4 linked regions of the Schizosaccharomyces pombe genome follow. The protein of the gene in region 4 binds, or shares a complex with, the protein of the main gene of each other region. Each region holds a gene or a part of one and is shown on either strand. Other genes may lie near its edges.

Region 1 (3,166 bases), on a different chromosome or scaffold from region 4:
ATAAATTACTTCTTTCATAGCACCTTTTGGCTGATATTTGATATCCACACCTTCAATCTCTTCCAAGCCCATAAACCCATCGAAGTCGTCTAGGTGGTCAGGAAGCTTGACTTCCTTCCATTTAAGCTCGTCCAATGCAGCTTTCTTTGGCATCGTGATCAAAGCGTTGAAAAGTGTAGTAGTTTGCTCCACATAGAAAATGTAGGTAGACAAAAATTTACACTAAGAATTGGAACGAGGGAATAAAAATAATTGCATCGTATAAGCTAATAGAAAACAAATAATTAAATGTTACGAAGACATTAAACGACGATTGGTTTTAGCAATTCAATGCTTTGCCATGTTTTGCATAATTTCTAAATAGTACAACCATTTTGTATTAAAAATATTGCTTGAGAATTTTAGAATCGAATGATCTGAGCTACAGTGCTTACAAGAGTAGTAAACACAAACGATGTTACTACTATAGTTCTAATTCGGCTAGCAATTGGTACAGGTGAAAGGAACATTCTTATTACTTTGAAAATTTGACATCTCAGTCCTTCTCTTAAATAATAATAATAAAAATAGGAATTATAGATATGACAGAATAATATAAGGGTCTTTATGTTCACGCAGCTGTTTAGAATTATGTCGTATAAGATGTAGGTTGGGAAGCTAATACATAATTAATGCACATCCATAAAGTTTTTGAAGAAAAAAGGTAGATTGATCGGTCATAATTTAGCATTTCATTTTCAGACTATCATTGAAATGGAAGAAGTTTTTATTTCATTTTGGATTCTTCGAAAAGTACTCTTTTGTGAATTCTATGGGTTCATTCATTAGCTTCTTAAATGAGGCTTTAGAAAATCCATAATAACTTACTTGGGATCATATTTTATAAAAGCAAGCTTAGGAGCAGCTTTTGGACGTGAACGAACGTAGAAAAATCCAGTGCCAGCGGTGGACAATAATTTTACAAGCAAACTGAAAAATAAATGTTAAAAATGCGCATTAAATTAAGCATGTATGTCTTACCGAGCTTTATTCTTTTTAGCCATTCTGGATATACGTACAGTGCAAGCGGTAAGTTAAAGGTTTTGTAGTTACACCAGGGTTTGTGGGCGAGCTCTTTTAACTTGATGGATAACTTGCAGTCAGAAATGTAAAATTGAAAGTTTGCAATTCAAAGATATTGTTTTGAGTAATGAGAAAGCCTTTTTGCAATCCAATTTTTATTAAATTTGGTTGTGTACAATCGAGGCTTTTCAATAGGTTATTTTTTTGTTTTAGGTAGACTATAGAACTATTAGTAAAGATAAAAGGCTCATCAATGAATTACTTGTTTTGAAAAAAAGCATTTAGATTTGAAATTCTAATTGAGAAACATGCATGACGGCACTTAAGAACGAAAGACGAACAGTAAGAATAAAAAAATTAGAAAGAATTTTTGAATAAAAATAAAATAAAATAAAAAATAAAAAAATGTTAATAAGGAAAGTATAACAAATTGAGTCTGCTGCGTCTCTTCTCCTGATGTCTGCCAATTTAACAGAGAGGAATAATTAACAAACTATAAGTAATCTTATAAATAGAAGTTGCTGTTCTATTAACATTCGAAGAAAAAATATGAAGTGATGAACAACTCTTGAAAAATTCTTTTTTTTTATTACAATTATTATTGTTTTTTAATTATTGGCTGTAGATGGGTATTTAATTAAAGTCCAATCGCGTCTTTGCCAATTTATAATCTTATTTGTATTTCTACATTTTTTTTGGAAAGAATGATATTCAAATGAAAGAACCAATTTTCTTTCAGGAAAAATTCTTTTAGTTAAAATGACATGTACTAGATGAATTAGGACGTTAAGAATGAACTAATTGCAATAGCATAGTTTGCTAGCGTGAAAAAAAAACACAGATGGAAATTAGCGAGCCTAGTAAAGAAACATTTATGACGAGGTGGTTCTAAAAAGCCTTTCGTGTATATATATATATATATTCGGCTCTAAACAAACGCAAGCTTTAAGTATCATTGTAACTGTAAATTATTGGCAATACTGAAAGTATAAGACGATCCTCAAGTTGTAAGCAAACCTAATTCATTTGCTGTACCAAGACTAGGATGGATGAGTTACAAGTCACTTTAAGTGTTTATGGGTCCAAAGAGAATATAAAATGTGTTTTCCCAATTTTACAAGGGTTAGCCAAATAAAGAATGCAAATGAACAAATCGCATGAATTGCGGAAGCTAGTGACATTGTATGACGATCTGCCCGAAATCCCAAGTCCGTATCTCATCCGCGAAATTGAGACATATCACGATGCATACGGAGAAAATCTATACAACGCAAGTATAGCCGCACCCAAAGACGGATATAGAATAGACTGGAGAAGGCTACATCCCTCGGATATGGAGACTGAATGAAAGAATTGAGAGAGTATTTAAAGCTCATTAAGTGCAATGTTTACGATTGTTATTACGGTTCTACATGGTCAATAGTATGGGAAATTTTAAAATAAACATTTTTCCTGGTTGTGAAAATGATGGAGAGAAGCAACGAAAATATCTTTAACTGATGCTTTATATATGTAGAATAAAAATTGAGTTGGAAATTACAGCAGGGATAGTAAACAAGTCAAGGATATGTTACAGTTGTCATTAGAATAACAAAAGGTTTAATAACTATCTTTTAAAGAGGATTTGACATTGTACTAAGGGCTGAGACAACTCGCATTAAATAAGCAAAGGCTGAATTAAGTAAAAGAATATTCGCACTTAATAGAGGAATACTATGTTAAATATAGGATGGATTTGCTGTGTATATATAAAATTATTATCCTCTTATATATACATATAATTATCGTTAATTATTATTTATATTTTATTTTATTTTCTTATCTTTTCCTTGGTTTTTATGTATTTACTAGTAAATCTATAATAATCATTAACTTTAATAACTTTCTTCAACTGATCAATTTCCCAACCAAAATGCTTTGTTATTTGTTCTTTAAGCTTGCTATGTTCTTTAGCTGCGTGTCTATCATCTCTTCTTGTTTGGCTTGGCACGTGCCATTTTACCATTTCTTGCTTCCTCCTACCTTTTAGGCCTTAATATTAACCCCCTGGGTCATCTTTTGGCATATAGGGTAAAGGGGCCAAACTCACTATCCAAGATAAGTC
Region 2 (2,801 bases), on a different chromosome or scaffold from region 4:
ACGAAATAGTAACCAAATTGGTACTAAAAAAATCACTAGCAGAAATTCCGATAGTTATGAAAAGGAAAATCAGCCATCCCACAATTATTGATAACACTGGGAATCGGAGACTGTTAATGGTACAAAAATAAAATTCAACGTAATCAAAGAACCCACTAGCCTCTCCCTTACAGTAAGCCTTTGCAAACCGACATTGATTAGCAGGGGTAATGTTTTTGATATCATTGCATGTAAGTAAAATTTGGTCGTTGCTATCATTTAAGGTATTTCCGCGCTCAAAAAGATGGACGGTTGAGTCCGAAGTCGAGGATACTGAAGCAAACGCTTTGCTAATCCGATGAGTCCAGAATAAAATGTAGGCAATGCCAAGGATACACCAAAGTAATATTAGTCTGTATTTCTTCAAGAAACATGAAGTTTTCGACATTTTTATACCTGATATCCAAGATATAGAAAATCCATGCTTAAACCGCATTGCTAGGTATTAGCAGCCCTTTTTTTTCTAAGATAGATGGGATGAAAAAGACTAATCCTATAATAAATATATAAATGCGCAGTACTCAAGATTGCCCCCAATTTTGGCAGAAAAAGTAAGAATGTAACTAGTATATTTAATAGAAGCAAACGTCACAACAGAATATCGATAAATATACGTGTCCGTAAACAATAAATAACAACAGTCAACGCAACATAAGGTATCGTAACGTAGAAATTTCTCCTTTCAAAGTGTATGCCCAATCATTAACAGATAGAATAAAGCAACAGTTGAAAAGGGTACCAAAATTTTTCAAAACAATAAAGAATGAGGCTGATAAACATACTAGCTATGAGCAAGATCAAAATACACAGCTCCATCCAACCCATTTGCACCTTCAGGATAAGTTCCTTTAGTGGCTTGAATTCGACGAGAAACAAAAGGCAAAAGCTTTGAAAGTTAATATAAAACAATATTCATTAATTTACAACATACCTCACAATCACCAGAAGGAGGCACAAACGTGCGAACACGCGACCACTGGACAAGAAAACCTCCATGCCTGGTTTTTTGACCCATTTTCCCAGTTCTTGTACCCTTGTAATACTGATGACCCAACTTTGTGGTCATTGGCAAGCGTCTTGCTCCAAAACATAATAATGATTGATGCATTTTGAATAACTCTCGATTTGGGTAAATGGAGGGTTTAAGTTGGCGCGTTTTCCGTCATAAAAGAAAAGGTAACGGTATAAGGTAACAGTCAAAGCGAAACATAGAATGTAAACAATAAAAATATTTGTTTAAAACGAACAAACGAATTACATTATGAAACTAAAAAATGAAATAAGTACGAAAAACTATTTTTTTTTCAACATTTAAATGAGCTTTCTTGTTGTTTATCTTTCTGCACAGTTCAATGAAAACAAGTACGGTTAATCTACAATTAAACGCCTCAAAATATGCCTTTAAAAATTTTAGTTATTAAAATCAGTTATTAAAAAATACTGTTACATCTCCCATTTCATTACTCGTTTGAGCCGATTTCCAACAGATAAATATATATTAAGTGTCCGTTCACGTTCGCGTTATTTATAACGAAATACGATGAGTTGTGGAATAAAGTGTTAAAGCTTTTGTTAAATGGCATTACGATTTATAGTGATGCTTAATGTACAGAACGTGGACAAAACCCTCGTAAGCATCAACATCTTACTTCTTCTTCAGCTAGTCGGCTGAAAACGTTGGCATAATGAATCAGCCAGAACGGTATGAGCTCATTGAGCTTATGGGACTCCCCAAGTAAGGAATAAACAATTTTACAAGGAATTGCATTAACCAGTGTAGAGTCACATATGAGCTCGATAGCAAATCACCTAATGCCGCAGTAGTTACTCTTGAAAAAGAGGATCATACATTGGCTAATATGCTTGCAAAGTAAGACTTCTAAATTTTTTTTTCTTTTCTAACTGCTTTTTCGAAGTCAACTCCTATCTGACGAAAGGGTTCTTTTTGCTGGTTACAAAGTTCCTCATCCATTAAATCACAATTTCATACTTCGTGTACAAACCGTAGAAGATTGTTCTCCAAAGCAGGTTATTGTTGATGCTGCTAAGTCCCTTATTACTCATCTGGAAGAAATCAAAGTTAATTTTATGCGTGAATGGGAGTTGAAAATGATATCTGTTGAAGGCGTTGAAATGGAGTTTTCCTAAAATCCACGGCTGCTTTTTCTCTAATATTTATTAGAGTTTTGTTTCAAAAAATACAGAATACCCTCTGTATGCATCTTTATTACAAAAATTTTGACTTTCGTTTTCGCAACTTCTGTAATTTGGACCGAAGTCGTATTAAAAGGGAAAATAAAAGTTTCTTTCTTTTTTGAAAACAGATGCTTTAAAAAAGGTGAAAGTTCTCCGATCTTTTATTGTATATGCTTCTTCATAAACCAACTAGAAAACTGCAGCAATGGCGATGAAAGTTTTTCTAGGTACCTGGATTATTCTCTGATATTGCTTTTTTTTTCAAAGTTGAATTTTGCTGAATGTAATCGAAGTGATTAATTTCCTACAGTAGGGCAGAGCATCGATTCTTACATTCAATCTTAAAAGAAATAAATTAATTAATGTTGTACTATTACAATTTATGTCATTGAATTATTCACAATCATCATTTTCTCTCCAAATGCTTTGCTTCAATTGCATTACGAAATTTGTTTATTCCTGTATTAGTTATTATTATAGAATACTTTTTGGATATGTAAGTAATTATATTTTCTTAAAATATACGATAAATATTCTTGCATAAATTAATGATACCCTATGCTTTG
Region 3 (3,952 bases), on a different chromosome or scaffold from region 4:
TACACTTTAAGCCCAATTTGCAAATAGCTTCGCAATCTTGGCGGGACTGCTCAGAAGCCACGGGAGAAGTCAATTCAATGTAATCGACACCAAAGTTGTCCAATGCCTTAGCAATTTGAATTTTCTTCTCGGTGTCGAAAAAAGCGTTTGCGAATTGCTCACCTTCACGAAGAGTAGACTCAATAATGGAAAAGTTATTGACACGTGAAAGAAAATCAGATGGGTTGGGACCATAAGGGTTTCCATTCATAGGAGGCTTGATGGTCTCAGTACCATTAGCTTCGGACACAGACATGTTGATGACTTTAAAATGCAAAAAAAGGAAAAGGAAAAGCGAATTTTCTAAAATGAATTAAGTATAAATATATAAATTATACAATTCAACAACTTATTGTCCCGAAACCTGTTAGCTTTGAATTTTTTAAGCTAAATCTTTTATCACTGTAGAGGAGACAACTAAGAGCAAGGATGCACGTATGTATGAATTTCAAAAAATTCGACCCTACCCTATTTATTTACTGAAAGAAACAGTCACTACCAACTCGTAGGCAACCGCGGTAATTTATGGTAGAAAATTGATTTACAGATCCCGATCGATCTTGATGAGATTTAATCAGATCTATGGTAGTAATGATTAAGTTACTGATCCACTCAACAGTGGATTGCTAAGCTAGGTTCTAGAAGGTATAGTGATTTTTTTTGTAAACGTTGTAAATATTTTAGTGGAGTTGATTTGAATAATTTCATTCGTAATTCCATAGTAAAATCAGTTTCATATTATTTAAAGTGTACTTTTTGATTCACTTCATGATTTCGCACATATACAACGTGCCGTTTTTTACATCCCGAAAAAAAGTCCCCAACGGAGCAGAGAGCAGCAAATAAGATTTTCGCCAAAAACACTCATTACCGTTACCAACTTTTCAGGACCAAAGAAATTTGATGTTTTAACGAAATTGCCGAGCCGTAATCAAAGTGAATCAAAAGTGGTTCATATTTCGCCAACAAAAATTAAGCAACTCTCTCATTGGGGATGAAAGTTCCCATTTCGAAAATAGATAATGAAACATAGCGCAAAATGTACAATGTTTTAAGGCATTTCTGGCAAATTTCATTCACTAAAACATAGAATAACTACAACGATTGAAAAGAAGCTCATGAATGTCTGTACAAAGATGCAGCATTAAGTTCACAAACTAAGTAAGTGAGAAGTATGACAGAAAAGTAATTATTGAATGGGTTAAAAATAGATAAATTCAGCTTAACTTTTCCCTTAAACAGCTGTAGTAGTACTGGTAATTTCCTGATAGTTCATTTTGCTTGTCTCGGTGGTAATGGGGGTTTCATGAATCAGTGTGGTACCCAATCTTTTGGGGGTTTGCTTGACGATAATCTCATACTTGCCTGGAAGGTGAAAAGCGGCTTGCTTCAATGCATGCTCAGCTAACTCTTTACGCATTCCATCACCACCAATTTCAAAAAGTACACGACCGATTGGTATCCGTGCAGCCCAGTATTCAAAAGCTCCTTTGCCTTTGCCCATACGAGTTTCATTTCCTTTTACGCATACTGGCACATTGCAACAAAAACGTGTGTATACCCGAGCAGCCTTGATAGGTTTTAATATACGCTTGAGAATCTGTTCGGCAGTTTCGAGTTGCTTGGCATGAAATCTTATACTTCGATCTTTTAATCGCATACCATATTCTCCCCATTCAAGTTGAGTACCACGTAGTGAACCTCCTATGGGTATAGGGACTCTTCCTTTCTGAGCTTTTTGGTTTCTGATGCTTCTGGGTGCATACTGGTGTCCCCAACGAACCATCGTTTGGATAGGCGGCATTTGTAAACCATTCAACCTCGTAGGTCCTAAAATACCAGAAAAAAAGAAAGGAAATTTATTGTATTGTTGTAAAGCCATATTATATAAGTTTTTATGTTGTGAGGGTTTCAAAAAGTCATAAAACAACGTGTTTTTATTATCATGCAAAAGTCGTTCTTTAAAGTTACTCAGAAATATTCAAAATAATCAAATTTAAGTATTATATTTCTTTTTTTATGGGAAAATGGTAACAATAGTAACGATAATAGGCCTGCTATTTTTTGTATGAGAAGGGGGTTAAAGGATACTTGGATTCTGTATGTGTTGCTGCCACTTATCCTAACTAAGTTCCGGGAAGAAGCCGGACAATAACTGAACATTAGCTATAATTATTTATTTGTTTGTTTATTAGTTTGTAAAAAAAAAAAAAAAAATTATCTTAAGCATTAGGCAAAAAAGATTATTTTCATAGATACTGAATTTAACGTGCGTTTTATGCTCAACACATTATTTGATTCAGCATCATCATTTCAATGACAACAATGCGTGAATAGAAATAAAACAGTGACTATTTTAGCTATTTCAAATAATATACTTAGCTCATTTCTTGTCAAGGAATTCTTGTCCTTGAAGAATAACAAAACGTTCAACTGTTTAGTGCCTCAGTATTGGTATTTGGAATGTTAAGACTGTCTTAAAAAAATCTTCTGATGTACGTTTATAAACCATTAGAAGGATCCTCTATCGAGCTAAACATTATTGTATGGACAATCGAACGTAAGAATGCCAAGCGCAACTCTTTTGTCCCCTGTAGCAAGAACTTGCTCACATCATGATTATAAAAAAAACAAAAAATGGGATTAGGAAATTATGAAGGATCTGCTAAAATCTTGCGCATTGATCTACGTATCGCGGGAAAAGAAGAATTGTTCTGCAAAGCGTGAATAGCCTGATATTCCCAGTTTTCTAACGTCTTTTGAGCAGCTTCCTTCTTTAATGAATTTGTATATGATTGGGATAAAGACGCTGTTCTCGTAGAAAACGTCGACGAAGAACTAGTTGTTGACATACTTTAATAAATATTCCGAATGGACACAACCTTGAAGACTTGCCAATTCGAATTTCTCTGATTTTACTGATTCTTGCTGTAAAAAGTCTTAAAAAATTCCAATAAGCTATAACACGCTTGATTGTTCAAGCAAAGGATTTGAGTTATTTGTAGAAATAGAAATGTGCTTACTCGCCATAGTTATGAACATCGCCATGTTAGTCTAGGTCTCGAAGAGAAATCGTTATTTCATGTTACGTATAACATCAAAGTTCGTTATTGATTATTTCTTATATCATTACATCATATACCTTTGTAATGCTTAACTGTAAAGTAAGCTTATTTACAGTACGAAGCAGTTAGCAAAAGAGAAGTACATTTTTATAAAATCAATCATGCGTAAATGGATTAAATTCGGGTTTCACAGTAATAATTTATCATTTTTTGAAGCTCTAACCCCTACGGTTCAACTATTTACAATCTAATCTCGACCTTAAAAAAACAAATATGCCTCAATAAAAAAAAAAAATTTCTTACATTTAGCCGGTTTTTATTTTTAAAGATAAATAGTATCAATATTAAAAGCACTTGATTGCGAGACATGAATTACAAAATGTATAATATTCAATTTCATTAGCTCGTATAGCGATTTTGCGTTTAAGAAACTTCGAAAAGGTTTTTTTAAAAAAATTAAAATAAAAACAAAGAAAAATCAAATAAGCTCATCAGTTGCAATCGGGTATTAAAAATAGAGCAACAAGTTAAAATGAAGGAATAAAAGCAAATTACTCATTAGGTAAGGGATCCAAACTCAACAAAAAGAAAATTAAAACTACTAAAATACAAACCAAAAACAAAAAAGTCAAATATGCACAACGAATACAGACATTAGGTGCTTCTCAAACGAGAAAGATTCACGTTACCACCCCTTGCCTCAAGGAGCTTCTGATAATTTAATAGACTAATCGTGATTGCAGGATTTCCATCGGGTTGTTGAGCTTCATAGTTTAGCAAAAGCTCGATCGCCTTCATAGCGTCTTTAGTGGTAATCTGGAATTCAGTAGATTCTTCTTCGTCCGTCT
Region 4 (3,712 bases):
AATTTTCAGAGGAATTGGAATATCAAACGAAACCACACCCAACTGTACCGACGTGTCAATTCAAAATACGTTACGCCCGCTACGGAGACAAGAAGGTTAAAAGCGCACATCTTTACTCGAGATATTATCTGTTTCACGGTGATCCTCGAGAAGAAAAGGCTCAGAAGAGCAAATCTAAAAGGTATAACTTGTGAAAACCAAATTAGTCCGGGTGCACTCATACTTTTCAAAAATCATTTCCTCTACTTTTGAGAATCTCCTTTTACTCAATTTTATATTCAAATTACTAACACTTTCGCACAGTAGAAATCAAGATGAAAGGGGTTCGCCATTAGATGAACGACTAGGTCCTAAAGTGTCTGACCTTACACTGATGGAAAGAATATTCCAAGTTCGACGCAAGCCACGCAAATCAAGGAGAGACCGTCGTTCCAGGGTTTCCAAGCGTTAATTGTGTTGTAGAGAAATATTAAATACCCAGTTTATCCGCTTTTAAGTCGCTTTTCGCTGGACGAAGGCAAGAAAAAATTAATATGCTAAATTAGCTACAATTTTATAAATAAAATTTTTTTATTTAGTTGGCCATATTAAAATAAAACCGTTCTTTTCTGCGTTTAATAGAATACTCTTTTGGTACCTGAATGATATCGATAACCCTTTTAAGGTAGATGTAAGCAAACGACAATTTTGAATGGGATAGTCCTTAGCTTTAAGCAACGTTGTGATGAACAAAAATTACCAATACAGATTTAAATTGTAAGAGCTAAACTCTTAAAAAATGCTTAAAATTTTTCGTCGATAAATGACGGTCGACACAAAATAACTATACATAAATGCATCTGGTCCACAAATGGATAGGTAATAGCATCGACTATTAAAATGGAGAAGGGATCATGAAAATTGAAATGCATTACGGTAATGTAAAACATAGAAATGTAAAAGTCATGAAGACAGAGATCATTAATAAAATGATTACCGCTTTTCCTTTCCACGAGGACGATCGCGGACGAGTAATTTATTAACATTTTTACCTCTTCTTGTTTTGTATCCACCTTTAGCCAAAACACCCCAAGGAGATTGAGAAGGTTTATTACCAATGCTTTTACCACCACCACCACCATGTGGATGGTCACATGGATTCATAGCTGTACCTCGAACCGTAGGACGAATGCCAAGCCAACGTGAACGACCGGCTTTACCAAGCTGGCGATGTTGCCAATAAATATTGCTTACAACACCAATGGTAGCAAATGATGTATCCAAAATCTTTCTCTCTTCACCACTTTGTAGACGAACGATAGCATATTTACCATCAAAAGCTATGATACGAGCGCTACTGCCAGCAGAACGACATAGCTTTGCCTTTTGATTTGGATTTACACCAATGGCATGAATGACAGTTCCTATAGGAATTAATCTGAGAGGAAAACAATTTCCTGGCTTCAAATTTTTTGCTGCAAAAGTTCCATCTTCAATTTCAGCAGCTAGGACGGGGTCCATTTCTACTGGCTCGCCATTAGAACCAGTCTTCAAAAGCGATCGAAAGCTCTCAACTGTATCGCCTTCGCGAAGCCCGTCACAAGCCAAAATATAACTTTTGTTGGCTGTTTCGGAATTCAATTTTTCAACAAGGGCAATGTGACCACTTCTACCAGGGTCATACTCAATTCTAATCACTCGATGAACACCCGGTACTTTTCTTTCAAAGTCAACAAGACGAATACGTTGTTTGTGTCCACCACCCTGATGCCTTACAGTAATTCTTCCTGTTTCATTTCTTCCACCTTTTTTTCTTTTTGCAACGGTCAAAGGTCGAAAAGGTTTCCCTTTCCAAAGGTAATCACTAACTGGTCTTTTTAAATGACGAAGACCAGGAGATATAGGTTTGTAAGTTTTAATCTTGATAAGAATTAGTAAAAAATGAATTAAGGCTTGATAAATAAAAAGTAACCCTCGTGTTAATATTACATACCTCGAACTTCGTTTTTGGTCGTAGAAGCATCCCTACATCGTAGGGTCTCTCGGAAGATTCAATTTTTTCACCGCTTGTAGATGCGGTAGAGGCATATCTGAACAGCTTTAACGCATGAATTTGAGGAATCAAATACCCCCGAAATCGATTATAACTCAACATGGGGATTTCCAACTAAACCTATGGTAAGAACTCACAATATGATGGACTGCGAATTAACGAGTTCAATCATAATTTGCGACGCTCAGTGCTAAAATCTTTACACAATCCAAGGTGTCGTTAACTGTGTAAATAAATGAACATTGATCTAGGGAATACAACATAGAGGAAATTGAACACATTAGCTATAATAATGAAGAACTTTGTTTTATTGTTTGATCATCTGTGTAGTAAATATTTTATACATTGTAAACCCGATTCTATACGTTTGAAAGTAATGGCAGGTCAACTGAGAATTTCAACCACGTTATAATATATTGGAAATTTTGATAAATTGAATTTGCTTTTCCTTCGAGTTGAGCAAAGTTAAACTAGAATTTACGACACCTGTAATAAGCCTGCTGAGCATGAAGAGTTTAAGGGATTCAAGGTATCAGGAAAACATTGCTTTCTCACAAAACTCTTCTCACATTCCTTTTTGGATGTGTGCTTAATTAATTACTAAATAAGTTCACATACCAAAAAAATCTTATTTAATATACAGTTTCAACGAAAAGTTTCAACTATGGAAATTTGTTTTGTTAACTCGTTCATTTTCGTTTCAAAACAATTCGAAGATGGGGTTGATCTGCGTTTGTTTAATATAGCTTATTAGTTTGCTTATGAAAGGTTTCGATACTATACTCTGTGTACACTGACAAAGGTCAATCAACATGAAAAGCCTTGAGATGCCATTTTCCAAAAAAAAAAGTGAAAAACACTATTTGATTGACTAGGATCTTCCAAATTCTTACAGATATTAGGTATTTTGACAACATCAAAATTGTCAAGTTTGCAATTCAAAAATGTTGCAAGTAAAATAACTGGTGTCAGGAAAAAAGGACTAATATTTATTGACTTCATATTAATTAGTCAATTGTAGAACAAGATATGTGGTACCCATGACCTCTTTGTTTATTGAGTACTTCTATAATGACTTACTTCAACTTTGCCTTCACCAACGCCAACGCGAAAACAGCCAACTTCAAGTAGGCAAAAGGAACAGACCGATTTGAAAGCATGATTGAGCATCTTAAAGGATGATTCAAAATGGTGGAAATAGCTATGTGGATTCCAATATGAATGAAACGCAAAATGATACAACTGACAACTTTGATGCTGAAATGCAAGATCTAAACGGGTATATAAGCGAAATTGTCGATGAGGCTAGGAATGTATCTGAAGTTGATGCAAAATTTTTGGGAGATACCTCTGCCCTTCAAGCTGAGGGCCTTTGGTCAGACGAAGAGTCAGATTATGAAGGCAGTGACGATGAATCAAACTTTAGTAAAACAGCCTCAAGAACCGAGGACGACATTGCGAACGAGGAATGGGAAGAAAATTTAAAGGCAGTTGCTGGATTTAGAAAAGTCCGTAAAGGTCATAAAGGTCGAGGACGTGTTAGTCGAGCTGATATGCTTCCCTCGGTGGAAGTGCAACAAATGTTGAGTTTAGCGAATCATTTGTTTGCGCAAGAAGGAAACTTCGACGAAGCCCAAAAATTAGCTGAAGAGATTGTTCGTATTGATAATAATGTCATTG

The links.
Region 1: rml2 (region 4) and mrpl39 share a complex: the UniProt entries of both Schizosaccharomyces pombe proteins name them as parts of the mitochondrial large ribosomal subunit.
Region 2: rml2 (region 4) and mrpl27 share a complex: the UniProt entries of both Schizosaccharomyces pombe proteins name them as parts of the mitochondrial large ribosomal subunit.
Region 3: rml2 (region 4) and mrpl16 share a complex: the UniProt entries of both Schizosaccharomyces pombe proteins name them as parts of the mitochondrial large ribosomal subunit.

Annotation. Positions count from the first base shown.
Region 1 is NC_003423.3:2,700,207-2,703,372, forward strand, and holds mrpl39 (mitochondrial ribosomal protein subunit bL33m), read right to left. Parts: upstream 1,546-3,166; 5' UTR 1,044-1,545; coding exon 1,021-1,043; exon of another isoform or gene 970-1,020; coding exon 868-969; exon of another isoform or gene 837-867; intron 810-836; coding exon 767-809; 3' UTR 529-766; downstream 1-528. Other genes in the region: ATP-dependent RNA helicase Mak5, read right to left, coding at 1-153. UniProt on the Schizosaccharomyces pombe protein: Component of the mitochondrial ribosome (mitoribosome), a dedicated translation machinery responsible for the synthesis of mitochondrial genome-encoded proteins, including at least some of the essential transmembrane subunits of the mitochondrial respiratory chain.
Region 2 is NC_003424.3:1,432,229-1,435,029, forward strand, and holds mrpl27 (mitochondrial ribosomal protein subunit L27), read right to left. Parts: upstream 1,171-2,801; 5' UTR 1,148-1,170; coding exon 971-1,147; exon of another isoform or gene 926-970; coding exon 821-925; 3' UTR 545-820; downstream 1-544. Other genes in the region: SPOM_SPAC3A12.06C (sodium/calcium exchanger), read right to left, coding at 1-427; DNA-directed RNA polymerase II complex subunit Rpb11, read left to right, coding at 1,725-1,774, 1,820-1,909, 1,956-2,187. UniProt on the Schizosaccharomyces pombe protein: Component of the mitochondrial ribosome (mitoribosome), a dedicated translation machinery responsible for the synthesis of mitochondrial genome-encoded proteins, including at least some of the essential transmembrane subunits of the mitochondrial respiratory chain.
Region 3 is NC_003423.3:3,507,013-3,510,964, forward strand, and holds mrpl16 (mitochondrial 54S ribosomal protein uL16m), read right to left. Parts: upstream 2,122-3,952; 5' UTR 1,922-2,121; coding exon 1,274-1,921; 3' UTR 511-1,273; downstream 1-510. Other genes in the region: lys4 (homocitrate synthase), read right to left, coding at 1-295; protein tam12, read right to left, coding at 2,691-2,891; ARS-binding protein Cbp1, read right to left, coding at 3,759-3,952. UniProt on the Schizosaccharomyces pombe protein: Component of the mitochondrial ribosome (mitoribosome), a dedicated translation machinery responsible for the synthesis of mitochondrial genome-encoded proteins, including at least some of the essential transmembrane subunits of the mitochondrial respiratory chain.
Region 4 is NC_003421.2:694,344-698,055, reverse strand, and holds rml2 (mitochondrial 54S ribosomal protein uL2m), read right to left. Parts: upstream 2,145-3,712; 5' UTR 2,135-2,144; coding exon 1,973-2,134; exon of another isoform or gene 1,949-1,972; intron 1,900-1,948; coding exon 973-1,899; 3' UTR 574-972; downstream 1-573. Other genes in the region: RNA cap binding protein cbc3, read left to right, coding at 1-181, 304-451; transcription factor TFIIIC subunit Sfc4, read left to right, coding at 3,211-3,712. UniProt on the Schizosaccharomyces pombe protein: Component of the mitochondrial ribosome (mitoribosome), a dedicated translation machinery responsible for the synthesis of mitochondrial genome-encoded proteins, including at least some of the essential transmembrane subunits of the mitochondrial respiratory chain.